Linked DNA regions of Oryctolagus cuniculus. Each later gene encodes a partner of the first gene's protein in a complex. Links are inferred from orthologs where the notes say so. Each region holds a gene or a part of one and is shown on either strand. Other genes may lie near its edges. The genes, in order: HCRTR2 and HCRT.

What was found.
Region 2: the proteins of HCRTR2 (region 1) and HCRT are in contact, whole or in part, in a cryo-EM structure (PDB 7L1U), measured with the Homo sapiens proteins. The link is inferred for Oryctolagus cuniculus from reciprocal best matches to the Homo sapiens genes HCRTR2 and HCRT. Residues at the interface, in NP_001371201.1 of Homo sapiens: Thr111, Val114, Trp120, Pro131, Gln134, Thr135, Val138, Gln187, Val209, Cys210, Asp211, Phe227, Thr231, Ile320, Ser321, Asn324, Lys327, Arg328, Phe333, Ala334, Thr336, Arg339, Val342, Tyr343, Phe346, His350, Tyr354; in NP_001515.1 of Homo sapiens: Asn89, His90, Ala91, Ala92, Gly93, Ile94, Leu95, Thr96, Met97.

Annotation. Positions count from the first base shown.
Region 1 is NC_091436.1:114,347,321-114,362,494, reverse strand, and holds the start of HCRTR2 (orexin receptor type 2), read left to right. Parts: upstream 1-6,253; 5' UTR 6,254-6,423; coding exon 6,424-6,646; intron 6,647-15,174. UniProt on the Homo sapiens protein: Nonselective, high-affinity receptor for both orexin-A and orexin-B neuropeptides. Triggers an increase in cytoplasmic Ca(2+) levels in response to orexin-A binding.
Region 2 is NC_091448.1:20,614,848-20,628,976, forward strand, and holds HCRT (hypocretin neuropeptide precursor), read left to right. Parts: upstream 1-8,076; 5' UTR 8,077-8,088; coding exon 8,089-8,109; intron 8,110-8,848; coding exon 8,849-9,220; 3' UTR 9,221-9,301; downstream 9,302-14,129. Other genes in the region: GHDC (GH3 domain-containing protein), read left to right, coding at 2,952-3,246, 3,532-3,650, 3,754-4,255, 4,536-4,728, 4,812-4,883, 4,960-5,093, 5,420-5,505, 7,739-7,829 and 1 more; voltage-gated delayed rectifier potassium channel KCNH4, read left to right, coding at 11,799-11,874, 13,948-14,129. UniProt on the Homo sapiens protein: Neuropeptides that play a significant role in the regulation of food intake and sleep-wakefulness, possibly by coordinating the complex behavioral and physiologic responses of these complementary homeostatic functions.

The DNA.
Region 1 (15,174 bases):
CGGCCACATTGCTCTTTCAGATTAGAATTCAATAGCCCAATATTTCCTCATTTTAACTATGTAGACAGTATACCATGCATATTTGATAAAATAGAATAAAAAATCACTGACACAATAAAATGGATCTTTTTTTTACTATAGAAAATCTGAACATGCATTTTTATTGTTACTCGACAAACCTAATGCTAACCTAGATTAACCTCCTTGAACTCATCAAATTTTATAATTTTCAAGGGAGAGAGACACACAGTGAAATGAGCTCAAGGAAAAGCGCCATATATTCAAAGAACAAAGAAATATTTCCATGAACCCAAGACCTGGGTCATAGCAAAAAAAATCATGTGGTCTAAGGATTGATGTTTAAAATGTAACTATTGTATTCATACTTTTTATCCCAAGATCCTACTCTGTAAAGCACCTGGTGATAATGAATGGTTCTCTGAGAAGGGTGGTTCAGGCAGGCAAGCACCTCAAAAGGTACAGTCTGCACTCCAGGATTACATTGAAACTCTCTTTCTACTGTCTATTATTATTTTCCCATTTTACCCAATGGCCATTATGAAAAAATAAAAACATTTTTAGATTATGGGAAGAGGAAATGAATTAATAGAATGGTGCATCCAACAAAAAGTTCACTAAATTCTTTTTAAGGCTAAAGGTTTAGTAAAGGGCAGCAATGTGGTAGTATTTCCAAGAAGGTTTTTTTTTTTTTTTTTAATGTTATGGAAGCAAAAGTGACACAGATGTATAATTTTTCACAAAATATTCACCTTTCTTTTTGATTGTTTTGTAAGTGTCTTTGTGTGTGTGTGTGTGTTTTAACTTTTATTTAATGAATATAAATTTCCAAAGTACAGCTTATGGATTACAATGGCTTCCTCCCCATAACGTCCCTCCCACCCGCAACCCTCCCCTTTCCCACTCCCTCTCCCCTTCCATTCACATCAAGATTCATTTTCGATTCTCTTTATATACTGAAGATCAGTTTAGCATATATTAAGTAAAGATTTCAACAGTTTGCACCCCCATAGAAACACAAAGTGAAAAATACTGTTTGAGTACTAGTTATAGCATTAAATCTCAATGTAAAGCACACTAAGGACAAAGATCCTACATGAGGAGTAAGTGCACAGTGACTCCTGATGTTGACTTAACAGTTGACACTCTTGTTTATGGCCTCAGTAATCACCCTAGGCTCTTGTCATGAGCTGCCAAGGCTATGGAAGCCCCCTGAGTTCACTGACTCTGATTATAGACAAGGCCATGGTCAAAGTGGAAGTTCTCTCCTCCCTTTTGGAAAAAGAATTCCTCCTTTCAATTGAATTCAGGCCTTATCATCAAATAGTGATTGACCAATAGCTACAAGTAAAATGTTATGCTAACTTTGAAAGAAGAGATAAATTGAACAGCATTTATTCCCTTAAATGTACAATTGTGGGGAACATGAGAGACTGACTTACTATTAAGGGTGTGAGATCATCTTGAAGGAAATAACAATTTTCCCCACAATTCTACAAATTCAACACTATTTAAAATTTAATAGAATTTTTAAAAAATACACAAAGCTAACATGATTTTATAAGTGTGTTTGTAAACACTCATGATTTGTTATTATTACCAATAATCAATGAAATAGTTTATCATATTGGAAACAGAATAGGACAATGACAGCAAGCATATTTTTGCAAGTGGGCCTTGACAGTGGTACATAAAGATTCTGTCATTTCTGTGTGACTCTGACAAAGTTACTTAATCTGTCTGTGTCATAATTTCTTCATCTAAAACTGGAAGACACGTGGAAAGCAAGTTCTTTGCAAACACTAGGAAGTTAACAGTGGAATATCACTTGTTTTTTTCTTCAAAATATGATCACACTGAAATAGAGAGTAGAACAGTTGTTAGCAAAGACTGGGAGGGTTGAAGAGAAGGCAGTCTAGGGAGAGGCCAGTTATGAGGTACAAAATTACAGTAAGATAAGAGTAGGTTCTAGTGTTTAGCACCATTGGGTGACTTAGGTGAGCAATAAGTTACTGTCACTGTGTTTCTTCTCCTAAAAGATAGGATTTTGAACATTTTCACAAGAAAGAAATGATAAATGTTTAAAATAAGGGATATGCTAGTTTACTTATTTTGTCACTATATACTGTACGTATGTACTGAAATATGACAATGTACCCCATAATTATGTATAGATACTATTTTTCAAGTTAAAAAAATTGACAGTAGTTAAAAATATAGAGAAATAAACTTCAAACATAGTCATGCAGCACTTTGGTTGATGTCTATCTGAACCCTTACATTTTATTAACAATAACAAGAGGTACTCAGTCAAGTAATCCCCACAACCAGATGAGAGTGGGATCATGTTACAGCCCTCCTACCTAGTCCCTCTACCTTCTGTCTCACCCTTCTTTAATCTGTTCTCCACATTATTGCCAACAATTGCTCGGAAAGCCTGATTTTGCCTCACTTCATCTTGCTTGTGCCCTTATATTCTGTGTTTTCTCCTGCCGCAAATTTTCCACAAAGTACTTATTACCTCTGCCTGCAACCTTTCCTCTTTAACCACTTTGTAATCTCCCACTTCTTCACATGTTCATCCCACAATGACTCTCCCTGTGGGGAAGCTACTCATTCTGATTCCCTTCAGGCTAAATGAAGCATACTTCCAAACTCTCATGACATTTTGTGAATCTCTCTACCTTGGAAACTCAGTTATGCAATAATCATATTTCTAATTCACCAGTCAACTTACGGATCATTTAGGCTACAATAGTTTTTTTGATCTTTCTGGCTCCAAATTCTAGTTACAATCCTGAGCACATAGTAGATACTCAGGAATCTTATTGAAATGGATCTAGAAAATTATTATAGACCTTCAAAAAAGATACCTCTCATCAGGAATAAAAAAAATAAAATCTAGGATAGCCCATACCATTCTGCAATCTTTGAACAAAACTCAACTACAACCATTAACAGGGAGAGAAAAGATATCAGTTTATTTAATTCTTTAAAGTACCTAAAGAGGACATACAGGGAAAATTTCAAACTTTCTTTAATGTTTTGTAATATTAGTTTGGCTTCTTTCCTGTACATCTAGCAGAAATATTGTGAATTAAAGAAAATAATAATACCTAAGAAATATAAATTCTTTTCAGATATCCTAAAAGATCTAAGGAAGGAGATAATATCAAAAGTGAGTGCTGCAATATTTGCCGTCTCTAATGTAGTTGCAAAAAAGGAAAACAAATAATAATTTGAGGATTAGAGTGGAATTTTTGCATGACATTGGAGTAACCCATATTTAAAATAAAGCAGTTGATAAACCATGGATAGGAGGAAATGGAATATTTGTAGAATCAAGATAAATCCAAGCTTGTCATAACATAAAGCAGATATCAGAATAAAATCTTGAAAAGATTTTCATTTCTCTTTATAACTTCAATAAGCAGTGATGATTAATTTCAGATAGAAGATTTAAAGAGAAGATGGAAAGGTAGACAGGTCAATGTTCCACACAACGAAATCTAAAAGCACTGATTCCTTAGGGAAGAGCAGACTGGGTCCATGTTTATAGATTGTCAGTGACAAGGAATTTACAGGCATTAATGACTATAGATCTGAACTAAAGTTGTAGCAACCTGTCCCACTTTGAAAAGAGTTGTCCATGGAAGAGGAAAATACAAATAGTAATAACGCAGTGGAAAACATACGATAGCAAAATGTTAGCAGATTTGTATCAGTGATCTTGAAAGAAAACACAAAAGGTCTGCTTGTCAAATTTACTGCTGACAACAGGTCTGGAGGAATGGCAAATGCTTTGGATAATAGCATTAGCATTTAAGAAGATCTATTTAAACCTCAAATTAACAAAATTGAATTAATATATCCATAAGTCATTTGAATCTCCTGCTTACATGTCACCTCTTCAGAGGCCCTTTGGACCACTTAGTTCTAGTATAGTCTTTGGGATTCTCCACTCACCAGCACTTTACTCTGATTTTCGTGATATTATTGATCCCTTCCTGGTGCTTTCCTTATGTATTTATCAGTTCATCTGTTTTCTAACTGTACTAAAAATTAAAATATATGAAAGCAGCATGTTTAACTTATGTCACTAAGAATGGAAATGAATAACTCAGTGACTGGTGAAACAATAAAATGCTTATTTAAGTACTTCTGTTGAAAAGAAATTTAGGGGGCCAGTGTTATGGCATAGTGGGTTAAGCAGTTGCATGCAACGCTGGCATCCCATTTGGTTGCCAGTTTGTGTCTCAGATACTGTGCTTCCAGTCCAGCTCCTAATGCGCCTGCTAATGCACCTGCGAAAGCAGCAGAAAATGGCCCAAGTACTTGGGCACCTGCACTCATGTTGGAGCCTGTAAAGAAGCTCTGGCTTCTGGCCTTGGTTTGGCCCAGCCCTGGCCATTGTGGTCATTTGGGGAGTGAACCAGTGGATCGAAGATGTCTCTCTCTGTGTCTCCCTCTCTCTGTAACTCTGCTTTTCAAATAAATAAAATAAATCTTTCTTTTAAAGCAATGTAGTTGGCATACTTGGAAAATTCCAACAACATCTTCATTTTTATAAAAAAAGTGACCTCTGTAGAATAATAGAAGCACTGGTTATGGATCAAGAAGACATTTGTAGAATAACAGCACTAGATGGGGACATGCAGTGATTAATAATTTGATTTTTGGTAGATCATTCAATGTTTTTGGTAACAGTTTCCTCATCTATAAAACAGGACTAATAATACCCAACCCCTTGGGGCTTTTAAAATAATGCATGTGAAAAAATTTTATGAAATGTACAGTACAAAACAATTATAAAAGATTGTGACTGGTGATGAAGGTGAGGCAGTTGAGTAAAACCTCAATGTAAACTATAGGTGCCTTTTAACTTTTGGAAAAAAATTAAATAAAATATGGGTTACATCCAAAAAATAATGTCTATTTTTCCTTACAAGACCCAGACCAGATACTGCATTTCCTCTCAATTGAATATTTTTCAAGATACTATTGTCCAAAGAAAGAGCACTCAAATATAGGCATGGAATTGTGTTGTCTGAAAAACAGTGGGGAAATGGAGGGGAAACATGGAGAATGGGGGAGATGGAATGGGGGGGTGTACTTTACCAAGTGTGAAGGATTGTCAAGCAGAGGATTTATTCTGGGTAATATCAAGTTACACCCTGGGAATTGAAAGTAAAAGTCTTAGAAAGGCAAATCTCTTGATGGTAGAAGTAGTGAATTGTGGTGGTTACATCCAAAATCAACAGAGATATATCAGCAAGGTTATCAGGAGGTAGAAGTTCTGGCTTAATGATTCCAGGGTCCCTCCCACGTCCCAGACTGTAACTAATCAATGAAATATTCAACAGCGTTGCATGAATGGAAGGATCATGAATTCACATGTTGACAAATAAATCCCAGCATCCTCATTCTTAGAGAAAAATATCAATATCAGGTGACATCAGCCCTGAATCAATGAGAAGAGAGACCAGTGAGGTATGTATTCACCAGAGAGTACCCACTGCTGCTTGCTCACTACATGCTACTGAGAATCTGTTTTAATAGCGTTTAGTATATTGGTGGGATCTTCTGCTTGGCAACATTAACTATGATTACATTTATGACCCTTGGTGTCCTTCAAGGATTTGTTGCTATATTTCATATGACATTTAGTGTTGCAAATACAAATTCCAGCTAAATATACCCTTCAGTCAAAAAAAACATTGTCATTTCCCAGTTTTGAGGAGGAAAGGAGATATCTTAAAGATTGAGCAAGTGCTAATTTGGCAAATGTTAAATGTTAAAATATTTGCTGAAATGACTTCGGCACTGTCCTGCTTAAGGAACACAGTGGTTCATTACTTTTACATTCTCATTAGGAAAAACCACAATACATCCTGTATTAACCCTGTGTTGACCATCTTGTGATGTCCACATACCTACAGATGACTCTGTGTGCTTTACACAAACCGCTCTTGAAAAATGTAGGAAAGGAGATTTAACCCACAGGGAAAGAGTTCAAAATAATATTTTTTTCTTTGCCCTAGCATCCGCAGGAGGAGTCTGTGGGCTGAGGACTCAGTGTTGGAATGAGGAGTAGTTGAGCTCGAGCTGAGCCCGAGGTAGCCTGCTCCTCCCGGTGTCATTGCTGCAGCCTCCACTGTCCGTTCCCCAGTTGCTCAGCTGCCTCTCTTTCCTATGCAAAACCGCCTGCAAAGACAGCAAAGCCGCCGCAGAAGTTGCCCGGCAGAAGACTCCGGAGGCATTGGCTCAGTAACTTTTCACGTCATTTTCTGCTCCGGAGCCCCTGCTCGCCTCTCCGCGCAGCCTTTCCCACCGCAAATCACCAGTGCTCATGGGGCAGGCGAAAAGGAGCTTGCAGCACTGAACTGAACCGGACTCGAGCCCGTGATGTCCGGCACCAAATTGGAGGACTCCCCGCCTCGTCGCAACTGGTCATCTGCCTCAGAGCTGAACGAAACTCAAGAGCCGTTTTTAAACCCCACCGACTATGACGATGAGGAATTCCTGCGGTACCTGTGGAGAGAATACCTACACCCGAAAGAATATGAGTGGGTCCTGATCGCAGGGTACATCATCGTATTCATCGTGGCTCTTATTGGAAACGTCCTGGGTGAGTTTCCTCCCGGGCAGCCCTCCAAAAGGGCTGTCACCTCTGCTCCGGAAGGCTCTGAAGACCCCTCCCACCCTCTGGGATGCAAACAAAGAGGTCGTAGCGCTCTCCCTAGCTCTCCCTCTCTTTCTCTCCCCCTCGTGAGGTTTTCTAATGCAAAAATAAAACAAAAGTTTTCTTGTTTCATGCACCAGGACAGACCATGGCATGGTTATTCCTCTTTCTGCAGGCAGCAGAGGGAAACCGCGTTTCTTTTCCGAGCACCTAGGTTACAAGCGCGGGGAGAAGGGGCAAACCACAGGGATCTGCAGGTGGATTTGGTGGAGTGTTGGGGAATCAGTCATCCTTTTGTGTAAGGCGGCTGAATGTTGTGGAGGGGATCTGAGGAGAGGCAGGGCTTGCAGAGTGCAAGCTGTCTTGACTGTTGAAGTCACAAAGCACTTGCGAGCTAGGTAGCCTGCCCTTTGGCAAGGTTTGGGCTCCCTGTCAGGAAGAGGTAATGAAGGGGCAGGAGCTGAGATCAGGCAAAGCACGGAAGTGCACTCACTCCGGAGCCTGAGCCTGAATTAAACAAGAAGCTTGCCGGCTGCAAGGAGAAGGAGGAGCATCCAAGAAAAGTACCTCGGAAATCTCACTCAGCCCTCCGTCCGTCCACCCACCCACCCATTCATTCATTCATTCATTCATCCGTTCAGCCAATGTTTTCCAGAGCCTGCCTGTTGCCAGTGTCAGGAAATATCTATTGTGTTAACTGCTCCGTCCTCACTCCCTCCCACCCCCCACCAAAAGATGACACTAAAAGCTTAATGCTGGGCTTAATGTGAATGTCCCTGCTAGGTCCGCATGCAAACACAGGTTTCCTCGACCCCTCCCTACCGTGAATTTCTGAGTGTTGGGAAGGGGATTGGGTGATGATAAGGTGACTTAGATGTTGGAGTGTATTAGGGAACCAGAAGAATCTAGTGCAAGAAAAGGACCTTTGGAAGGGAGGGAGGACTAAGAAGGAATTGTGAATGGAAGGAGCCTGTACCTTGATGAATGGAGAGTGGGATGCCGGGAGGCATTTCAGATGCAGAGGGCAGTGTGGAGGAAGTGTCTGTTGAAAATGTCAGGAGGAGATGGAGGGGGCCAGGGGAAGGTGCTCTTTATTTTCAGTTCTAAAAAGAGAAGGTGAGAGAGGTGAATTAGGTTCCAAGGCTTTGAAGTCAGAAGCAAATAATTTGTTATAAAAAAAAGAAAAAGGAAAGGGTTTTCAGCTGTTACAGAGGATGATAAGGAACTTATCAGGTTTTCAGCAATAACCTGATTTTTGCTTTTTCTCCTAAGTGTGTTGGTCTGGCTAAGAGGCATGCAGTCATAGTATGTCACAAAGGGGAATTCTCCAGTGAGTTGGTAGGATATTATGAGATGAGGTAGGAAACCTCTGAGACATTTAGCTTGCTCTTTCTATATTGTTTTCAGGATTTGTTGTCAGTGTTGCTGTTAAGTGTTTAGAGTAAACATAAAGAGAATCTTCTTGGGATATAGACAAAGTGGATGAAAGTGAAAATATACATGACTAAGTCTCTTGTTACCAGGATAAATGAGTCTGCTGATAGCAAGGCCATTCCTGCTTTCCTCCTTCTTGCCATCTTTTCTTCAGTTTACATTTATATGACATACGAGTACCAGCATATCAACATTTCACTGTATTATGCCATACTTACTGTTACACGAATAACCAAAATTGAACATATATTGACAACTTACTGTATTCCAGACCCCTTGCCAAACATTCTGTCATTTAGAATTCAAAATAGACCATACTCAATAGTACAAACAAGGCTTAGACAAATCAATGACTAATTAACAGACATAATTGAAATTCAATTTCATTTCTTTTGCCTCAAATCCACAATTCTCCATTGATATTACACTCTGGAGATAGAAATCATATGGAGAATGGATTATCTGTTTCTGATTATCTGCAAGCCTGTTGGATGCATTTCCTGTTGTCTGCATCTAAGTCCATTTATGTCAATAAAGTACCATGATAGGTTAATAGCACTTGTGATTCTCATGACCAAAAACCCACCTACAGGGGAAACTTTTACAGTTAAAAAAGACATTTGTTTTGCAGGAATAGTTATAAATTATAACTATTTCCTCTCCCTAATTTTATTTCAGGCTTACTCTTTGTGGTAAAATGTGCTTTTCTTTGCTGTTATTTAATTTTTGCTTTGCATAGGCCTTCTGATGCATAGTCCTCATAGACTAATTGCATAGTTTAGTAATACATGATCACTAGCCTGGGGAGTTTCAGATTCCAGAAGGAAACACCTCTACAGTAAGGCCACTTACTTTACTTCAAAAAGAGATTGCTGTCCATAGCCTCAAGTGCTGAAATGGCCAATTCCATTCAGTTCAAAATGAAAGATTAACTCAAGGCACTCTGCTCTCAAGATACTGACAACTGTTTTCCTCAGGACTGAATAACACAGAAATCCTCTCTGGATAGACTGAAATTCATTCTTTACTAAAATATTCCCTGAAAGTTGATGAGGTTTAAGTTTGACATTTAAATGAATGAGCAGTGTCATTACTCAGACTACTTCTTGCTCTTTGATGTTCTTGTCAAATTTGCAAAATGGATTAGACTGAGACTTGCTTTTTTGCCCCCCTTTGGTGATTTTACAAATAGAATGCAAAGACAAGAACTCACATTATTCATGAAAGATAAAGAGACAACCTTCGTTATGGAGGTGAAGTACCACAGTGCAGGCAGCATATGTAATCACTGACCCATCAGGTCCATTCACTGTTTGCTTTCATGTAACTGACTACTTGGAAAAGCTCAACCTTGTTGAACTTACAAAAATAATGCTATCAGTGAGAAATAATTTCTTCTACAGTGCCTTTTATAAACTGATGGAACAGGATATGCTCTGTGAAGAATGAAAAAGTCTTGATCGTCCTCACCTTTTTTTTTTCTCCACAGTCTTTCTCATTATAACCTTTCTCCATTATAAGATGATCCTTTCAGAGACATGAAACAGTTTCCTGGAAAAAAATTACAAGGCCATTCACAACAGGCACAACCACTGTAAATGGTATTTCATGAATATTTGCATTGTAAAAAGACACATGAATGACTAATTGTGGATTTGGATCATGGTAATAGCATCTTTTTGGAAGGAGTAATTTTTCCAGTTTCTTCAAAATGATGCCACATATACCACATATACATACATATATGTATACATTACATGATGTATTCCCAAATATATCTTGTGCTATAGCCACTAGATGTGTCTCTTTAATCAACTAGTATATTTTGAGTAATATTATGTTCTTAAAGTCAGTGTGTAAGTGTGAGGAGGATTTTTGGGGAAATACAAAGGAATATATTTGATGTAATTTTTACTCATGATTTCTGAAATGTAAATTGGAGGGAGAGATGTGTTTCCAGTCAGCTCAAGCATTAAATACCTGGGGAAAAACATCAGTTTAATGACTCTCTTGTGTCTGCATCCAAAGATACAATATGTGTAGGTATGAATCCATCTATTCTTCTTGCTTCTTGTGTGACTACTAGCAAGTTATTGAACTAATAATGTCTCCTTTTTTTAAATTGCATACTAAGTTGATAATGCCTGCCTTGTAGAAATTATATCATGATGTAATACACACATATTCTATGTAGAGATGCAGGAACACATACTTGACATATACTATATAATAATTAATGGCAGTTATTAATCCTTGACTCTCACTACTGAAATATTCCCTAATGTGGTTTGTAGTCATTTTATACCTCCATGGCCTCAGTACCTTTTAAGCTCTTTATGGCCTCTGCTGTAGCTTTTGTTAAAATTGATTGTTTTACTGAAAGGTGTGAGTAATATGGAATTGACAGCTTACTCTCCTTTGCCAGGTCAGCTCCACCCACTCATCCCCTTCAAAGTGATTACTGTACATTGTCTTCCCCTTTCTGAAAGCTATTCCTAACTGTTGGGATAATTTTCTTTCATCCAGGTTAAACTTGCCTTTAGTAGGTCTCATTCACTTGATTTTTGAGTTGTTATTCGTCAGTCTATTATTTTTAATGTTGTTAATTTAACTCAGATGAAGCACTTAAGGCATTAAGGAATTTACCCCATATGAGTTAAGGTCAAGTAGTTAGATGGGGTGGAGGGAATATCTATTAAAGAGTTGCTTCCTACAGACTTAATCTTATATTCTAGTAGTGGAAGTGGCAGACTTCTGAGTGTCTGCTACTCCTAAGCATAAGAGGCATTACTTATCCATATCTCCTAATGCTCATTTGAGATCTGTGGGTGTCCATGAACCCATCATTTGCTATACAGGAAACAGAAAGAAATTAGAGAGAATATATTACTCATCTCTGCAAAGACTCAATAGAAGTCAGAAATAGTGAGTGTAAAAGACAATATTAGCTATTGGGTTTTAAACCTGTTGTGTGTTTTTAGTTGCAGAATATTTTAATAAAAAGTACTTATTTTAATGGGAATTAAACTGATGCCTCTGCATTTTTGCTAAACCATAGTCATTTGGGTTTAGTTGGTAAAGATAAGTTATATCTTTGACTTGAGCAGAATTCAAATGATAACTCTATAAATGGCTATATCATAGATAACAGAGCAACATTTATCCTGGACAGACAATTATGAGAGTAACATGTGCTATGCATAATTTAATGACAATGGATTTCTTCTTATACTTGAAAAAGTACATAGAAAAAAAACAATTTGGAAAAATTTGTCAAAAGAGGTCAAATTGAAGGACATGCATTTGGTCTAATTTTTAAGACATGGCTTCAGATGCTTGCATCCTGTATTGAGTTGCAGCCCAGTTTTGTATTCCAGCTTCCTACTAATGGACATCATAGGAGATAGAACATGGTGGTTCAAGTAGCTGAGTCTTTGCCACTTGGGAGATCTGCACTAAGTTCTGAGCTCTTGGTTTCAGTCTGGTCCTATTCTTGCTATTGCAGGTATTTGGTGAGTGACCTAGTGAATAGGAGTTCATTCTCTACATATGCATATGTCTTTCCCTCTCTCTGCCTCTCAAATAAATAAAATAAATAACTCTTACACATTTTTGTAAATGGAAGTCAAAACTAAAACTCAAATACAGATACAATGCTCTAGTTTACATTTTTCTTGACTTTAGTAAAAATACATATATTGAATTTTATGATATGTATTTAAATGGATTTTCATTATCTTGTATTTTAGATTATATTTAAAAACTATCCTGTATGGTAGCTACATTCACATTCATAAATCCCTGAATTATCACTCAGCTCCTAAAATATCAGGAACATCAATTGCTGATGTTACTTTACTACAAGAAGAAGATCCTTCTATTTTTCTTCCTATTGTATTATTATTTTTTCTTAATGATTTTTTATGTAATTGAAAGGTAGAGTTATGGAGAGAGAAGGAGAGACAGAGAGAGGTCTTCCATCTGTTAGTTCACTCCCCAAATGGCTGCAATGGCTGGAGTTGGGCTTGGCTGAAGCCAGGAGCCAGGAGCTTCTTTCAGGTCTCCCTTGTTGGTACAGGGACCCAAGCACTTGTGCCATGCTCCCCTACTTTCCCAGGTGCATAAGCAGGAAGCAGGATCAAAAGTGGAGCAGATGGGACTTAAACTGGCACCCATATGGGATGCTGGCAGTGCAGGTGACAGTTTAACCTTCTATGCCACAATGCTGGCCCCATTTCCTTTTGTATTCTGACAACTCCTATACTCTTACAGATACTAACATTGTTACATAATGGCTTACTAGTATGAGTCAACCAGACATGCAATAGATGAAGCTAAGTGTATTTGACTCCAGTCCCTCTTCTCACTTCAAAGGAAAATGAAGAGTATTTCAGATTGTATGCCAGGTCTTATATATGGCAGCCTCCACTTTTGTGTATTTATTGATGCCTTACAACATCAACCTCCTAATGATGAGTAGTTAAATACTTTATTTTACAAATGAGATAAATGAAATTCAAAGAGCAGTTTTAACTTGTTCCACAGTTTAGTCATCAGTAAGCAGCAGCACTAAATTTCAAGTACATATTTTACCAACTGCACACTCCACACTTGTCATTACTTCATACTGCCTCTTTCCCTAGTTTCTAACTTGGGCTGGAGAAGTACAGAAGAAAGAGGGAAGAAAGTGATGCTTTGATGTGCCCTCTAGACAATTTACAGAGTTGTTCTGGCATGATGCCATGCTATTTCTCTCATACACTATAGCACTTTAGCTTTGAGGATGAGCTCATTTGATAAGCTAATCAAGGTCAGGCTAGGGTTACTTTACAACAGAAAATTTCAAGGTAAAATAGGTGCTGCCAAAAATGCTTTTGCCTGTAAGGGGGGGAGGGTGACTCAATAGAAAAAAAAAATGCCAGATAATTGTGTCCAAAGGTTGTTTTGTTATTGAGTGGTATCTTTAATCACAGTGTAAGACTGACAGCCTAAACACTTAAGACTTCACATAATGAGTTTTTTTCCTATATTCAAATACAGTCATCACTTAATAGGATAATTAATGTATATTTAAACAAATCATAAGTTTCATTGTTTGAATGAATAAATCAGTCCTCATATTATGTTCCTAGAGCAGAATGCTCTTATTTATGTTCAAAGAGGCATCACACAAGACATGAAATGACCTTATGCTCTGAGTATGGAATACTTTGAGATGTTATTGGATTTAAAACATGTCATATATGGCCAGTATTTGAATAACTGATTCTGAGTATTAAATTTTTTCATGCCACCTTTGTTCTCCATGAGAAATGATCTTTTAACCACATAAATGTAGTAGATTACTATTTGAAATAGCAAATCCCTAAAAATAAAAGCTCCTTTACTTAATTCTTCAAAAATATTTAGGGATTCTTATTTCTGGGTCTATCAGTAATTTACATTTTGTATTTAACAAGAATAATGTTTAATACTTTATAGTGTTCTACTCTTCAGAAGATATTCTTACATTTTTGTCTCATTTATCCTTCACTACAAACTTCTGAGGTAGATCTTATTTAGTGAAAAAGATTCATCTATCAGAAATGATTTAAAGTCACTGTGGAAAAAAATCACAGGCACACAGAAATATCAAAGGGTTGTGTTTCAACATTGGAATAACTTGTCAGTTTCCTATGGGGGATGTGATGACCTTTGTCTGGTGTTCAGCTATGCAGTCTTTGATACATGATTTTGTCAAAAATCTGAGGAAGGATTCTCATTAACTAGATCCAGAATCCTGTCCACAATAAAACAAAATAATAATTCCAATGTTTTAATTTAGAAGTTATCCTACAAGTCTTAGAATACCCAGAGCTCTTTCTATCATCATAATCTTTTCCAGTAGAATGAACCACATAAAAACTGTTATGGTTTGAATAGCTACTCTATGGCACAGTACCAAACACACTCTCAAATTCTCATTAGGTTAGCACCACAAGTTTGTTTCTTGCTCATTTCTCATACAGTATGGGTTGCAGAATCAATTTTACACAAGATTCAGGGTTCAGACATCCTCATTTTTGTTTTAATTTCTGTTTTCATTTTAGATTTATTTATTATTTGAAAGGTGGAATTACAGAGAAGGAGAGACAGAGGCAGAGAGAGAAGTCTTCTATCTACTGGTTCACTTCTTAGATGGCCACAATGGCCAGGGCTGGGCCAGGCCAAAGCCAGGGGCCAGAAGCTTCTTCTGAATGTCCCACATAGGTACAGGGTTCCAAACACTTGAGCTTCTGCTGCTTTCTCAGGCACATTAACAGGGAGCTGAATCAGAAGTAGAACAGCTGTGACTCAAACTGGTGCCCATATGGGATGCTGGCACTACAAATGGGGGCTTAAACCTCCACACCACTGTGCCAGCCCCAACCCACTGTTCTTATTCACCTTCTCAACATCTAGCCTCTATAACAATCAATTTTCAAGATGGCTTCCAATAACATCTCATAATACAACATTCATATCCATATATAGTCTTCCACATTATGTCAGCATTGGTCTGGTGACCAATACATACTGCAGACAGTACATCTCTCTGAACATTGCATTATGAAAGAATGTAACTTTTGAGTGGAGTGCCAACTGTCATTCCTTTTTATCTTGTCCTCAGGAGGAGGTAAGCTACTTTGTTATGAAGGTTGAAATCTCCACCCCATACTCATAGAGGAAATACAGGGTTGACAACCTCGTGTCTGAGCTGGGAAATGAATTTTTATGGCTAGTTAGAATTTTGAGGTGATTATAATGGCATCCCTACCTCAATCCACCACCAGCTTGACTATAATATCATAATGGACTCTGAGACAGAACTACCCAGTAAAGTTTGTCACATACTGCTGAACTTGGAGAAATTTAATAATTAATTTTTATTGTTCCAAGCTTTAAGCTTTAGGATAAGTTGTTACATATTCACTATAGTTATAGTAGAAGGGTGAACTAAACAAAACAATTGGCTTTGATCTAGCTTTGCCAAAAACCAAAGGTGTTATTCATGCACATAA
Region 2 (14,129 bases), on another chromosome or scaffold:
TAAATAATTAAAAAAAGATTACAACTTAATAAAAAAAAATAGCCCAGTTAAAATGAGTAAAGGATATGAATAAACATTTCTCCAAAGGTAGGCAAATGCCAGTCAACTCATGAAAAGCTGCAGCCATGGGGGACTGCAAATTAAACCCAGAAGGAGACAGCACGCCCTCTAGGCTGGCTGTGACCCAGAGGTCAGATAAGACCTGGGGAGCTCAGAGCCTCTGCTGCTGATGGGGATGGAAAGTGGTACAAGGCCGGCGCCGTGGCTCACTAGGCTAATCCTCCGTCTTGCGGCGCCGGCACACCGGGTTCTAGTCCCGGTTGGGGCGCCGGATTCTGTCCCAGTTGCTCCTCTTCCAGGCCAGCTCTCTGCTGTGGCCAGGGAGTACAGTGGAGGATGGCCCAAGTACTTGGGCCCTGCACCCCATGGGAGACCAGGAGAAACACCTGGCTCCTGCCTTCAGATCAGCGCGGTGCGCCGGCCACAGTGTGCCGGCCGCGGCGGCCATTGGAGGGTGAACCAACGGCAAAGGAAGACCTTTCTCTCTGTCTCTCTCTCTCACTGTCCACTCTGCCTGTCAAAAAGAAAAAAAAAAAAAGAAAAGGAAAGAAAGTGGTATAGCCACTTGCGGACACCAGTTTGGCTGTCCTTCAAGGGTTAAACAGAGTGACTTTATGACCTGGCCATTCCACTCCGAGATATCTACACAAGGAAAATGAAAGCTTGTACCCATGAAAGCTTACATGCACATTTACATAACAGCATCATACAGGGTGCTTCAAAAGCTTAGGAAAAATGCACTTAAAATCACTTTCCAAGCGGCATATGGGAGCGCCGTCAGGACGCGCTTGAGAGCCTGCGTTTCAGACTGGAGCGCCTGGCTCTGAGGCTCAGCTCTGGCTCCGGCTTCCTGCTAATGCAGACCCTGGGAGGCTCCGGTGGTTGGGTCCCTGCCACCCACATGAGAGACCCAAAGGGAGTTTCTGGCTCCAGGTTTCAGTGGGATCTGGGGAGGGAACCAGCGGATGGGAGCTGTCTCTCTGTCTCTTTCTCCTTTCAAGTTTAAAAAGCAGCAGCAGCTGGGAAGAGAAGAGAGGTGGGGAGGTGGGGAGGTTGTGAGGGGGGATGGGAGGCCTCCCGTTTCCGGTGCCTAAGTCAAGAGCGCAAGGAGAGGGCAGCCCAGGGGGGTCGGGGGCAGCGACTCTCACCCTACAGCGCAGCTCTGCAGTTCCTGGCTGGGGTGGGGGTGGGCGCCTGGCTCTGGGGGCTGCCCTGCTCCCAGCTGCAGAACCACCTGTTCCCACAGAGAGAGCCACTAGACTAACACAGGTGTCTCCTTGTGAGTGGAAATGAGTGCAAGAAAATTCACACGGGAGACAGAGGCAAAGTAGCAGCGTTTCACGGCGTAGGGCATTCATCAGAACGGACGGGCTCCTGTCCACACAGAATCTGAGAGAGCACGCCCACTCATCAGGCTGCAGAAAGCAAGGTCGCCAGGTTTAAGGGAGAGAATACACCCGGCAGGCCAGGTGGTATGTGCAGTCTGTATTCAGATTGGGGCTTAAAGGGACCGGGCTCCAGTTCTGCGTCTCTTCCTCCCAGCTCTTCTCCTGGACAAAGAGTGAATTAGATAAAAATCCTCCCAAGGTTTCAGGACTCAGTGCGATCAGACTGGGGCCCCACCTGGCACCGGCAGAGGCGCTCCCCGCCAGGGGTCTTCCTCGGAGAAGGCTGGAAAGACTGTGCTGTCAGGCTGGGCACAGCCTCTGCTGCTGAGCAGACAGGACGTTTGTTTGTTTTTAATTAATTACTTGTTATTTACCTGAAAGGCAAAGAGACAGAGACCTTGGCCCTCCCCTCCCCACGGGCTGTCTCCCCAAATGCCTGCAACAGCCAGGGCTGGGTCAGGCTAAAGCCAGGAGCCTGGAACCCGATCCAGGACTGCTGGCTCTAAGGTGTCCACTAGCAGGAAGCTGAATCAGAAGCAGGGCAGGGACTCAAACTCAGGCATTCAGACATGGGGCGCAGGTGTCCCAGCTGGCCCTCCGCCGCCGCGCCAAACGTCGGCCCCGCCCTCTGGTTTAACACTATTCAATAAGGGGTTTCTTTCTGCTACCTCCTTTGTTGCGAGGGTTCGAGGGTTCGTAGGTTCGCAGAGTTTGGTTTTTTCCAGTTCTCAAGCTCGCACCTGCTCTGGGAGGGAGGACAGCCCACACCTGGCTCCAGCCATGTCAGGGCGCTCTTCCGCACTAGCCTCTTCTCCACCTGCCTGGGTTTGAGGATCTGGCCCCAACTCCGCCATCTGGCTGGCTGGGCCAGCACCGAACTCCTGGGTGACCTGCCCCTTTAAGAGCACCCCCCATAGCTCCTCCCTCGGGCGGGGGAGGCCGGATTTCCCCATCAGGGCCCAGCCCGGCTCCATCTTTCTGGCCGGATGTGTCCTGAGCCCTGAGCTCGGAGGCTCTGAGGGGCCCTGGGAACTAAGCGTAGGCAGAAGTGGGCAGTGACAGGTGCAGGCGGGACAAACCCACTGCCCAGGGCTCAGGAGGGACTCAGAGCCAGGATAGACAGGGAGGGTCCCGAGGGAACGCGGTCAGTCAGTGCAATGTCACTCGCCCAGCGGCCACTTTGTGCCAGGCCTGTGCGAGGCAGTTTCTGTACCTCCTGGGAGAGGAATTAGGGCTCCTGTTTTACAGATGAGGACACGGAACTCAGAGCGACCGGCTCGTTTGCCCGGCTAGCGAGCGGCAGAGGCAGGATCTGAACTCGGGTCAGTGGGCCTCCAAAGCCTCAGTGGTCTCTCCCCTGCCTCGCCTGCCCGACAAGGTCTTCGCTTCTCCGGGGCCTCCCTGTGCACAGTAGAGCAAGGTGGCAGCGGGGGCGGGGGAGGGGAGTGTAGGCAGCCCCCCATCCCGCTCAGGCTGCCTCCTCCCCCCAGGAACTGCTCGGAGATGCTGCCGGGGCCCCTGCTTTTCCTCCTGCTGCCCCTGTCCCTGCTGCTGCTGCTGCTGCTGCTGCGGCCGCCACCGGCCACGCTGGGGCAGCCGGGCTCCTGGGATGCCAGGCTGTCCTGGCTTGCTGGCCTCCAGCACCATGTGGCCAGGGGCGTCCTGGGCTGGGCAGCTGCCTGGCAGCAGTGGAAACTGGACCAGAGCACACTGCACGTGGGCCAGAGCCAGCAGCAGGCCCTGGCGTGGTGTCTGCAGGGAGACCAGGGTCCCCGCGGCCCCCTCAGGGGGAGCACAGGTGTGTTTCCGGGGTCTGGGGAGGGCTCCCCAAGAGAAAGTGTGCAGGACAGTCAGCTCTCAGACCTGGGAGCCCCTTTCTCCCAGCCCCACTGCCCTGACCCGGACTCCCCGCCAGGCCCAGACCTGGCTCGCGGCTTCAATTAGAACTTTCCCCACCTGGCCGGAGTCCCCTCCCCACTGCCAGGGCTGCTCCCGGTTTTGCCCGCAGGGGTCTCCCCAGTCTCACCTGCCGCTCTTGGGAAACAGGCTTCTTGAGCAGTTTCTGGTGTCTTTGGGGCTGCAGATGTGAGCACCTTCCGGAATCTTCTCCCTCTGACCAAGGCCAGCCAGGCCCAGGAAGAATGTGGGGGGCCGCTCCTGTCCCCTCCCCAAGGCCCTTACTGTGGCGGGACCTCGCTGCAGGTAAACCCGGCTGACCAGAGCCCCAGCCCAGAGGCCCCCCCAAAAGGGAGGACACAGGGGGTGGCTCTGAGGCCGGCCCCACAGTCTCTCTTCTCTCCCCCAGGCCACGCTGCTGGGTCTGGGGGCTCTGAACAAGGCCTTCCCAGGAGTGCTGGCTCCGGGAAGCACAGCCCGTGTGACCCCCACATCGCCGTGGCCCAGTCCCTTCCCCTGGCCTGGGCGCGCCTTGGGCCTGCTCAGCACCCCCGGAGTGGCGGACCCCAAGGCCCTGCTGCTGGCGGCCCTGAGGTCCCCAGGGCTGATGGCGCTGGAGGCCGGGACGGCAACCGAACTCCTGGACGTCTTCTTGGGCCTGGAGGCCAACGGCGAAGAGCTGGCTGCGGCCACAGCTGCCGGGAAGGCGGGCGCCCCGCTGCCTGGCCGGGCAGGCGAGCTGCGCGCCGCGCTGGAGCAGGGCCCCCGGGGACTGGCCCTCCGGCTGTGGCCACGGCTGCAGGTGGTGGTGACGCTGGACGCAGGAGGCCAGGCGGAGGCCGTGGCTGCCCTCAGGGCGCTGTGGTGTCAGGGGCTCACCTTCTTCTCTCCTGCCTATGCGGCCTCTGGAGGTCAGCAGGGTGCCCAGGCAGGGGGGCGGGAATGGGGGTGGGGCAGGGGTGGAAGGCCAGGACCACTGCCCGCCCTGCTGAATCCTCCCAACCCCCAGTCTCCTTTTACAAATGGAGAAACTGAGGCTCACAGCAGGGCCGATACACCCCCGCGCTCACAGCCCCTTCCCAGCCGGGCCGAGGGGCAGCGGGCTGAGCCTGGGGCTGGAAGGGCGGCCGGAGGTTCGGGCTCCCAGAGGCGCAGGGTGTGGTCTGGAGTTGGCTGCTTTGCTCCCCGCAGGGGTGCTGGGCCTGAACCTCTGGCCAGAGCAGCCCCCCGGGCTCTACCTCCTGCCCCCGGGAGCCCCCTTCGTTGAGCTGCTCCCAGTCAAGGAAGGAGCCCAGGACGAGGCCGCTGGCACCATCCTGCTGGCTGAGGCCCAGGAGGACAAAGAGTACGAGCTGGTGCTGACTGACCACGCCAGCCTCACCAGGTGGCCACCTGCCCAGCCCCTGCTACCTATGGGTCCCTGCGGGAGGCCGCGGGCACGAGCTCACCCCCACCTGCCCCCACCAGGTGCCGCCTGGGTGACGTGGTACGGGTGGTCGGGGCCTACAATCAGTGTCCCGTCGTCAGGTTCGTCTGCAGGTAGGTGCCGCCCCTGGGGGGCCGGGGGGCCGTCCTGGGGCCCTGGTTCCACTGCCTCCCCCTTCCTCCTGCCCAGGCTGGGCCAGGCCCTGAGTGTGCGAGGAGAGGATATCAGGGAGGACGTGTTCCAGGAGGCCCTGGGCCGGGCCGTGGGGCAATGGCAGGGGGCCAAGCTCGTGGACCACGCCTGTGTGGAGAGCAGCATTCTGGGTATGCATCTCCATGGGCTCCCGCTCAGTCCTTGGGTTAGCGACCCCCCAGCCCACACCCACCCTCCGGGGGAGGAGACCCTGCCTCCAAGGCTGCCTGGGACACAGGTCCCTCCTGAGGTCTAATTTTCGTGCCTCCTGCTGCAGTGCCTGCCTGTGTGCTGTCCTGAGCGCTGCCCTATTTGGGACTGAGCTCCAGGCTCCGCTCCATTCACCCCACCCCCCACCACGGAGCTCAGCGTTGGGAGGGGCAGGTGGGCTGAGGGCCCTGGCCCAGGAAGTCGCCTCACTCACAGCAAGTGTGTGTCGGGGGGTTGTTGTCCACAGACTCCTCCGAGGGCTCTGCACCCCACTATGAGGTGTTCGTGGAGCTCAGGGGACTGAGGAACCTGTCCGAGGAAAATCGGGCCAAGGTAAAAAGCCAGAACTGGGTCGGACCGTGGGAGTCGGGGGGGGGGGGGGGCTTCGTTCTGCGCATGCGCACGATGCCTGGCAGAGCTTGCCCTGGGGTTCGGGGAGGAGAGGTCGAGTCCCACACACAGGCACACACACACGCACACATGCACACGCACGAGTCCTGCGCGCGCCCGGGCCACATTCACCGCCCCCCGCCGCCTCACACAGGCCCCTCTGTTCCCAGCTGGATCACTGCCTCCAGGAAGTCTCCCCCCACTACAAGTCCCTGCGGTTCCGGGGCAGCGTGGGCCCCGCCCAGGTCCACCTGGTGGGAACGGGGGCCTTCAGAGCCCTGCGGGCAGCCCTCCGAGCCTGCCCCTCCCTCCGCGCCCCCCCTGAGATGCCCCGGGTCCTTAGACACAAGCACCTGGCCCAGTTTCTGCACAGGAGGGTGGTGTCCTGAGCCAGGGCCCGCCCGCTGCCGGCCTCCCCTCGGGTCTCTCCAGATGGGGGTCCTTGGCCAGTGCTGGGGTGCAGGCTCCGGGCGTAGAGCAGACCCCAGCCTGTGACCACGTGGAGGCCACTGTGGAGGAGCTCCCCGTCTCTCCCATCAGAAAAGTGTTCGGCCACGCTCATGAGTGCTGGGGGGGGGGGGGGGGCGTGTCAAAGGCCCCAGGGGCGACCCTCAGCCGGTAAGGAACAGGGACTGATGCAGACAGACCTCCGCATCACTGTCCCTGAGGCCCCCATGCGGTCTCTCGGGGTCCTCAGCTGCCCATGGCCGTGACCCACTCATTAATGCACATTAACGCAGCTCCCCCCCACACCATTGTGCTTCCAAATAAACCTCTGGCACCCAGATTCTTGACTCAGGGTCTGCTTTGGGGCGACTGTGTCGGGGTCCCTCCCTGTGCCCACCGCAGCCTGGCCCGGCCATTCCCCTTTCAGCCCTGGGCTCCCCCACGATGTGCGGCAGCCTGGGTCACCCAGGAGATAGTTGCCTCCTCCTGCCGGCCCAGCCCAAGCGTGCCCCCCCCCCCCACCTCAGCACTGCTCCGTTCCCTGTAGGGGATGTCCTCATGTTCCAAGCAGGGAGAAACCCCAGAGACCTTCTGGGCCGAGTGTCCATGCCAGCAGGGTCCACAGCTCCTGTTCTGTCTCCGCTTCTGCCTGCAGACTGCGTCTCTGCTCCCTGTCCCCACATCCAGGGCCCTGCTCTGTACCCATTCAGCCCCTTCCTGATAAAATCCGCCCACGGCAGCTCCCCATTGCCCACAGGTTTAGGGCAATCAGCGTGGCCTCTAAGACCCTTGGGCCCTGGCCCTCTCTCCTCCCCACACCCGGAGACCACGTCCCCCACACACTGTCCTTGTGTGGAATGCCTTCTCCCCCCAGCTCTCCTGAGGAGCCCCTGCCCACTGCAGGCCGAAGAGCTCTGGTCAGCTTTTCCACACTGAGCTGTCTGTGTGCCCGGATCCCCACCTGCACTTGGGAGCTCTTTGGAAACTGGGCCATGGCCTACGCATCTCTCGTTCCGGTGCCCACGCAGGGCCTGGCACTGAGCAGGAGCACAACAAATAGTCCCCAGGGGGCCAGCGCTGGTGTAGCAGTTAACTCACCGCTTGGGGCACCCACATCTCAGATCAGAGGGCCTGGGGTGGAGTCCAGCTTCCAGCCGCTGTGCACCCTGGGAGGCAGTGGGTGATGGCTCTAGTGGCTGGGTCCCTGCCACCCGTGTGGGAGACCTGGATGGTGTTCCAGGCCCCTGGCTTTGGCCTGGCCCTGTCCTGGCTGTTGCAGGCATTTGGGGAATGAACCAGTGGGTTGAAGATCTCTCTGTGTCTGCCTTTCAAATGAATAATCAAATAAAAATAAAAATAAAAGCCAGCAGTGCTCTGAGAAGCTTTGGCCTGGAAGTGGCCCCCTCCCTGTGGAAGGTGGGGAGGGGCCACGCCCTCCGTCCAGAACACTGGGCAGGTGGCGGCTTTCTGTGAGCTTCTGGTAGAAACCGAGTCTGGCTTCCTTTTCTCCCCCAGCCCCCAGGGGTGGGTTTCAAGGCTTGCCAGGGAGCAGAGGGAAGGAGAGAGCTGGGGCAGGGGAAGGCGGGGCAGGGAACCTTTTCGCGAAGAAGGCAGGCTCTGGAGCCCCTCCCCCACACACCAGCCCGGTGGGTCTCCTAATTAGCAGCTGCCCCCACCACCACATCGGTGGGGACCTGCGCCCCAGCCAAGGCCTCTTTTGTGCTCTCAGATTCCTGGGTGCAAGGCGGCCTCATTAGTGCCGGGAGACTGCCCCATCTCCAGGGAGCAGGCGGATGGACAAGGAGAGGACCAGGGCCACGGTGACCCATCCCCAGCCTTCCAACGCCTGGGCGGCCATTCCTTGCGCCCAGCCTGGAGACCGCAGGCTAATCTTAGACCTGCCTTTGTCTGGCAGCCCTGCGTGCTTGCGAGTGCCCATCACTCCCCCCCACACCACAGAGCCTTATAAACCCCGGGGCCCTTGGAAGCGGGTCACAGTCAGCAGCCGCGCGGTTCCCTGCTGTTTGGACCACTGCAGACGCCTCTCTTCTTGGCTGCCCATCCTGAGCTCCAGACACCATGAACCTTCCCTCCACCAAGGTAAAGACCGACCCAGGGACCCAGGGGAACTGATCACATAGGGAGGCAAGAAGAGTGCTCGCTCGGAGGGCTGGAGAAGGCCAAAGGGGGTCTCTTTTTCCTGGGGGCTCTGAGACAGGAGGCTCAGCAGTCGCCCAGCAGCTGACCTGCCTGGTTCACACGGGGTCATGCCCTGTTCTCCTGGGTCCACGCTTACTGAGCACCTACTGTGTGCCAGGTGCTGTTTCCATCTGTCATCTCATTTCATCCTGCCAGCAGGCCACCTAGTAGGAGTTACTCAGTACCCAGTTTATAGGTGAGCCAGCTGGATGGGGAAATGGTCCGAAGCCATGGAATTTGGTGTTCTGTGTTTGCCAGCTGTGAGAAGGGTGAACGGTGGGGACCAAACGGGGCCTCTGCTTTTCCCGACTCAGACGCTGGTTTCAGGTGCACAGGTGCGAGCTCTCACGGGGGTACCCAGAAAGCGGGATTCCTTCTGCGGGTGGGGGGGGGGGGCCCGGGATCTCCAAGGGCTTCCCAGAGGAGGTGCTCTGCTGGGTCTTGAAGAATGAGCAGGCGAAGGAACCAGAGACGAGCCTTTCCCCCCGGCAGAGTCCTTCAGACAGGCGGGTCCAGGCAGGAAAACTGCGCGACAAAGCGCAGGACAGGAGGGGCGCGGGGCCAGCGCGCAGGGCCTGGGCGCGGGGGCTGGCTTCGGGCACGCCGGCAGGACCCCCAGCGCCCCGTCCTGCCTCTGCAGGTCTCCTGGACCGCTGTGACACTCCTGCTGCTGCTGCTGCTGCCGCCCGCGCTGCTGTCGCCCGGGGCGGCCGCTCAGCCCCTGCCCGACTGCTGTCGCCAGAAGACCTGTTCCTGTCGCCTCTACGAGCTGCTGCACGGCGCGGGCAACCACGCCGCCGGTATCCTCACGCTGGGCAAGCGGCGGCCCGGGCCCCCGGGACTCCAGGGCCGGCTGCAGCGCCTCCTGCAGGCCAGCGGCAACCACGCGGCCGGCATTCTGACCATGGGCCGCCGCGCAGGCGCGGAGCCGGCGCCGCGTCCTTGCCCGGGAGGCCGCTGCCTGGCCCCGGCCGCCACGGCCATCGCGCCCGGTGGACGGCCTGTGCTCTGAGCCCGGCGAAGACCCCGCGTTCTCCGCCTCTGCCCTCTCTGTGTTCCCCCGGAAAAACTGCAATAAAGACGAGTCTCCCTTGGTGTGTTGCTGGTCTCCGTTCCTACGAGGTCGCGTCCAGCCCTCCAGGGGGCAGGAGAAGCCCGGCTCTGGGGGCTCCAGCCCAGCTTGCGCGCTGTTGAGTCTGAAACACTCTTGGTTGGGGAGCTCACAGGGCAAGGGCCCTTGCAAAGTCCCGGGGTGCGTGCTCGGTGGGGAGGACGCGGGACGGACGCTGCCTCCCAGGCGCCACAAGTCTTCCGACAGACCCGCAAGAGGGGACAGAGGGCGAGGCAGGCGGCACGGAGGGGCGGAGTCCGGACTGCCAGGCGTGCGAGTGGCACCTGCTGAAGACCGGGACAGGAGCTTCCACAAGGCATTGTCCGGAGGGGCTGCAGCCTGCGGGGGCTACAGCGTGGGGGAGGGTGCCGGTCAGGTTCGCACAGCAGGGGCGGCGAAGACAACTCATCAGGCTTCGTCCTTTATTCTGTAGGTAGCTGGGACGCACAGAAGTTCTTAAGCAGGGCGAGGGTGAGGCTTTCCTGCAACACCTGTGCTGGGTTTGACTTTCTTCCCCTTGAATTCATGCTGAAGTCTTGGCTCCTAGCACTGCAGAACACCGGCGTTTTTGACAATAGGGTCTGTGCAGGTGCAGTTACTCAGGATGAGGCCACACGAGAGGAACCCGTGAAGGCAGGTGCCCTTACGAAGAGGGTGACAGTCAGGTGGTGCATCTGCCAGCCGAGGGAGGCCAGAGTCAGCCAGCAACCCCCTCCCGGTGGGGCACAGACATTCTCTCTCCCAGCCTTGAGCAGGAAGCAGCCCTGCCTGCTCTCTGATGAAGGCTGGACTCTCAGGCTCCAGAACTGGGAGGCTGTAAGATCACCGTTGTTTCAAATGCCCACCCTCTGTGTGGAACTTTGTTAGGCCAGCTAGGAAACTACTAACATCCGAAAGAGAGGCAGAAAGACACAGCCCTGGTTGGAGTCCGGAGTCCCAGACAATGTCCAGCTCAGACCCCCAGGGAGCAGGGGGAGGGACATTCATTCTGCCTGCCCTCTTGCCCAGCGGGCTCCTACTCTCGCTGGCTTTTGTTTTGTCTCAGGGATCATCGGCTGCCTCGATGATTTTCTGCTGAGCTGGTGAGAAGGCCCCATGTCTGCTCCTACCCAGGTTCCTCTTGGGAGGGATCAAAGTCCATGTGTGCATTCTTGCTGACTTGCAAACCCTCACTCTGCACACCTAGAAACTTCCTCAGGCCCAAGCTTGCCTCCAGCCTCACTTCCCCTTGCAAGGCGGCCGGGGGGCGGTGGCGGAGGAGGGGGGTGCAAGACTGACTGCAGGAAGCAGGAACAGCGAGGCAGACTGCGAACCAAGAAGACAGTCATGCCGGCGACAGGCGTCATGCTCCTAAATGCCCGCAGTAACTGCACCAGGTTAGAGTTATTAGGGGCTGACGCTGCGGCACAGCAGGGTAAACCACCATCTGCAAAGCTGGCGTCAGATCCAGCTCCCTGCTAATGCACCTGGGAAAGTCGTGGAAGATGGCCCCAGTGCTTGGGCCCCTGCACCCACACGGGAGCCCTGGAGAAAGCTCCTGGCTTCAGCCTGGCCCAGCCCTGGTCATTGCAGCCTTCTGGGGAGTGGACCAGTGGATGGAGGATCTCTGTCTCTCCCTCTCTTGCTGTAACTCGTTCAAATAAATAAATAAATAAATCTTTAAAAAGAATTATTAGGTCCATTTTATAGATGAGGATGCTGAAGCCGTCACACGCAACAGGTGGACGCAAGGCTTGCTTTCTCGACGCGCCTCAGAGGCAGGATCCACCAGGGTGTGAGGCAGAGGGCACAAGTTAGAGGTGCTTTCCAGGAGCTGGGGTTCCGAGCTTCCTGTCCTCCGTTCCCCACCTGCACAGCCAGCCTTTTGACCCTTGGCTTCTCCTCCGAGCGCAGGGATCTGGGGGTGCCGCAAAATATCCCAACTCCAGCAGGCGGCACTGTAAGCCGGACGCCAGCGCCAGGCGTGGGCGGCGCGCGGGGAAACCCACGAGGTGGAGCCTCGGGAGCTGCCCGGGAACCACGCGTGGGGGCGTGGCCACCTGGAAGGGGGCGTGCTTGCCACTCAGGCCCCGCCCCACCAATTGAGGCCTCCTCCTGCGGTGGGCGTGTCTCAGATTCTCTCCCCGAGAGACACGCGTGGGCCGCTCCCTTGTGCGAGGAGGGCTGCCGGGGAGGGGGTGCGGGTGTCGCCGGTGGCCCCTCCCCGTGCGGGGCCACGTGGCGGGCGCGGGCTCAGCCCGCGGGGAAGAACCTGACCCGTGGGGAGGCGGGGAGGGGGGAAGGGGGGGGGAACAGCGGCGACGCGGAGCGGAGCCGAGAGCACGGGGTTCAGAGCAGAGAGGCGGCGGCGGCGGCGAGAGGGAGGGGAGCAGGCAGGCGGGCGCATGGGGCGCCGCGGCCCCGCCGGCAGCGTGCCCCCTCCGGCCCGGCCGCGCTGAAGGCTCGCTGGCTCCGCGCCTAGGACCCGCGACCCGGGGCCATGCCGGTCATGAAGGGGTTGCTGGCCCCGCAAAACACCTTCCTGGACACCATCGCCACCCGCTTTGACGGCACGCGTGAGTGGGGCGGACCGGGTCGGGGCTGGAGGTTCGACTTGGAGGGGCCAAGTCTCCACGGGGCTGGCCCGGGTCCCCTGGATGTGGTGAGATGCGAGCCGAGCGGAGAGAACGGAGTTGAGGGTCTAGGACCGCCCGGAGCCGTGGCTAAGGCACAGGGCGAGAGCGCTCTGCGAGGGGGAAGGAGGGGGCCCAGAGCGCGGAGTGGGGGCACGGGGAGGGGGTGTGACTCGAGGCAGAAGACGCTCTTTGTGCGGCGACGGAGGAGGGGCCTCGGGAGCCACCCACTCCCGGGCCGAGCTTTGCCGGGGGCGTGGGGGGGGGCGGGTAGCCGAGGCACGGGTGGGACGAAGAGGCTGGGCGTTCTAGGAGCTGCTCCCAGACGACTCCAGCTGCACGTCCCTCAAGCAAACAAAACAAACAAACAAACAAACAAAAAGGAGCAAAGACCAGGCTTCGGCAGGACCTAGTGTGGATTAAGGTCGCTCGCCCCATCCCACCAGGGCTGGGTCCCAGGTTCAGCACCTCGGACAGCCGCACCGCTCCTTCCCCGCCTCTTCTCCCGCCATTCCCTCGTCCTACTCTGGAGCAGAGATCCCCTCCCAGACCCCTCGGGAGCCCTGGCCGGGAGCTGGAGGGTGGAGGAGCGGTACCCGAGGGCGGAAACCGAGCCAACCTGGCTCTACCCGCCTCTCCACCCTCCCTCCACACACACCTCCCCCGTTTCCATAGCACCCATCACCAGGGAGACGGGCCCTGGGATGGGAGAAGGAGGCTGTGCCCAGGGCTCAGAGCCTCCCAGGCACCCTCAGTGTCTGTCCCTATCAGCCGCCCCACCCCCGGACAGTCATCCTTCCTAGTGCCCCAGAACTGGTTGTGTCTGAGGCCCCCATAGTCAGCTGCAACTGTCCCTGGGCGGCCCACAGCCTCCCACTCACTGGAGCCGGAGGGAGCCAGCTCAGGTTCTGTTGCTGCTGGGGGGTTGCTGGAGCTGCACCCTCCGTGCCTTCTCCTGTTGAACTCTGAGCCCTGGGGGACAGATCCCCTGAAAATGGCTAAAGGAATGGGAACAAGCGGGCCTTCCCTGGGAGGCAGAGGATGAGGACTGCTCATCTCTGTGTCGTCCCCGCAATAAGAAGACTTGTGAGTTTGGCTACTCTCTTGTCTTGTGGTTTCCTATCAGTACAATAGGTGAGATCGCCAGAATCTTTGCCCTGCTCACTCTGCCGTAAGACAAGAGGGTGATGGGGCAAACGTCAGGGAGTCATCTCACCTTCTCAGAGTCCTACTCCCTAGGCACCAGGATTTGTGGTCCCCAAGTTAGCTGATGTCACTCCTGCCACAACCGTGTCAGGAAGGTGTCTTATGACGCACTTGGCAGAGAAGGGCCAGAGGGCTAATTAACTTGCCCAAGGTCACACAGGAGAGGGGTTTTGGAGCCTGTTTTTAAAAGAAAAAAAAAGTTATTTATTTGAAAGACAATTTTACAAGAGAGAGGGAGAGAAAGAGAGATCTTCCATCCACTGGTTCATTCCCCAAATGGCCACGATGGCCAGGCCTGTCCAGAGCCTGGAATTCCATCTGGGTCTCCCATGTGGGTGGCAGCACTTGAGCCATCCTCTGCTGCTTTCCAAGTGGAGCAGCATCTGAAGTGGAGCAGCCGGGACTAGAACCGGTACTCATAAGGGATGCTGGCGTTGCAGGCAGTGGCTTAGCCCACTGTGCCACGACGCTGGCCCCAAGCCCATTGCTTGCCATGCTATGCTGATTCCTACAATTAGGTCTCACCGGCCGGAAGGCGGGAGATGGACCTCAGGATCTCTCGGGGTTTGGTTTTCTCCTCCAATTCCCCGTGGTGGTCCTTGCCTCGGTTCTAGGCCACCTCTGAGTCCTTTCTCTTTGTCATCTCCTCTGATTCTCCTTTCAGAATATCCCAAAGAGGGTCAGGAGCCACAGCAGAGCCTGGGGCGCTTCTGGCTCCGACCTCTGGCCACCACCTGGGGGAGGCACTGCCCACCTGGAAGCTCGCTCCCCTCCTGGCCTCGTCCTGATCTTGACCACTTCCTCCCACAGACAGCAACTTCCTGCTGGCCAACGCACAGGGCCCCCGGGGCTTTCCCATCGTCTACTGCTCTGACGGCTTCTGTGAGCTCACTGGCTACGGCCGCACCGAGGTCATGCAGAAGACCTGCAGCTGCCGCTTCCTCTACGGCCCAGAGACCAGTGAGCCAGCCCTGCAGCGGCTGCACAAGGCC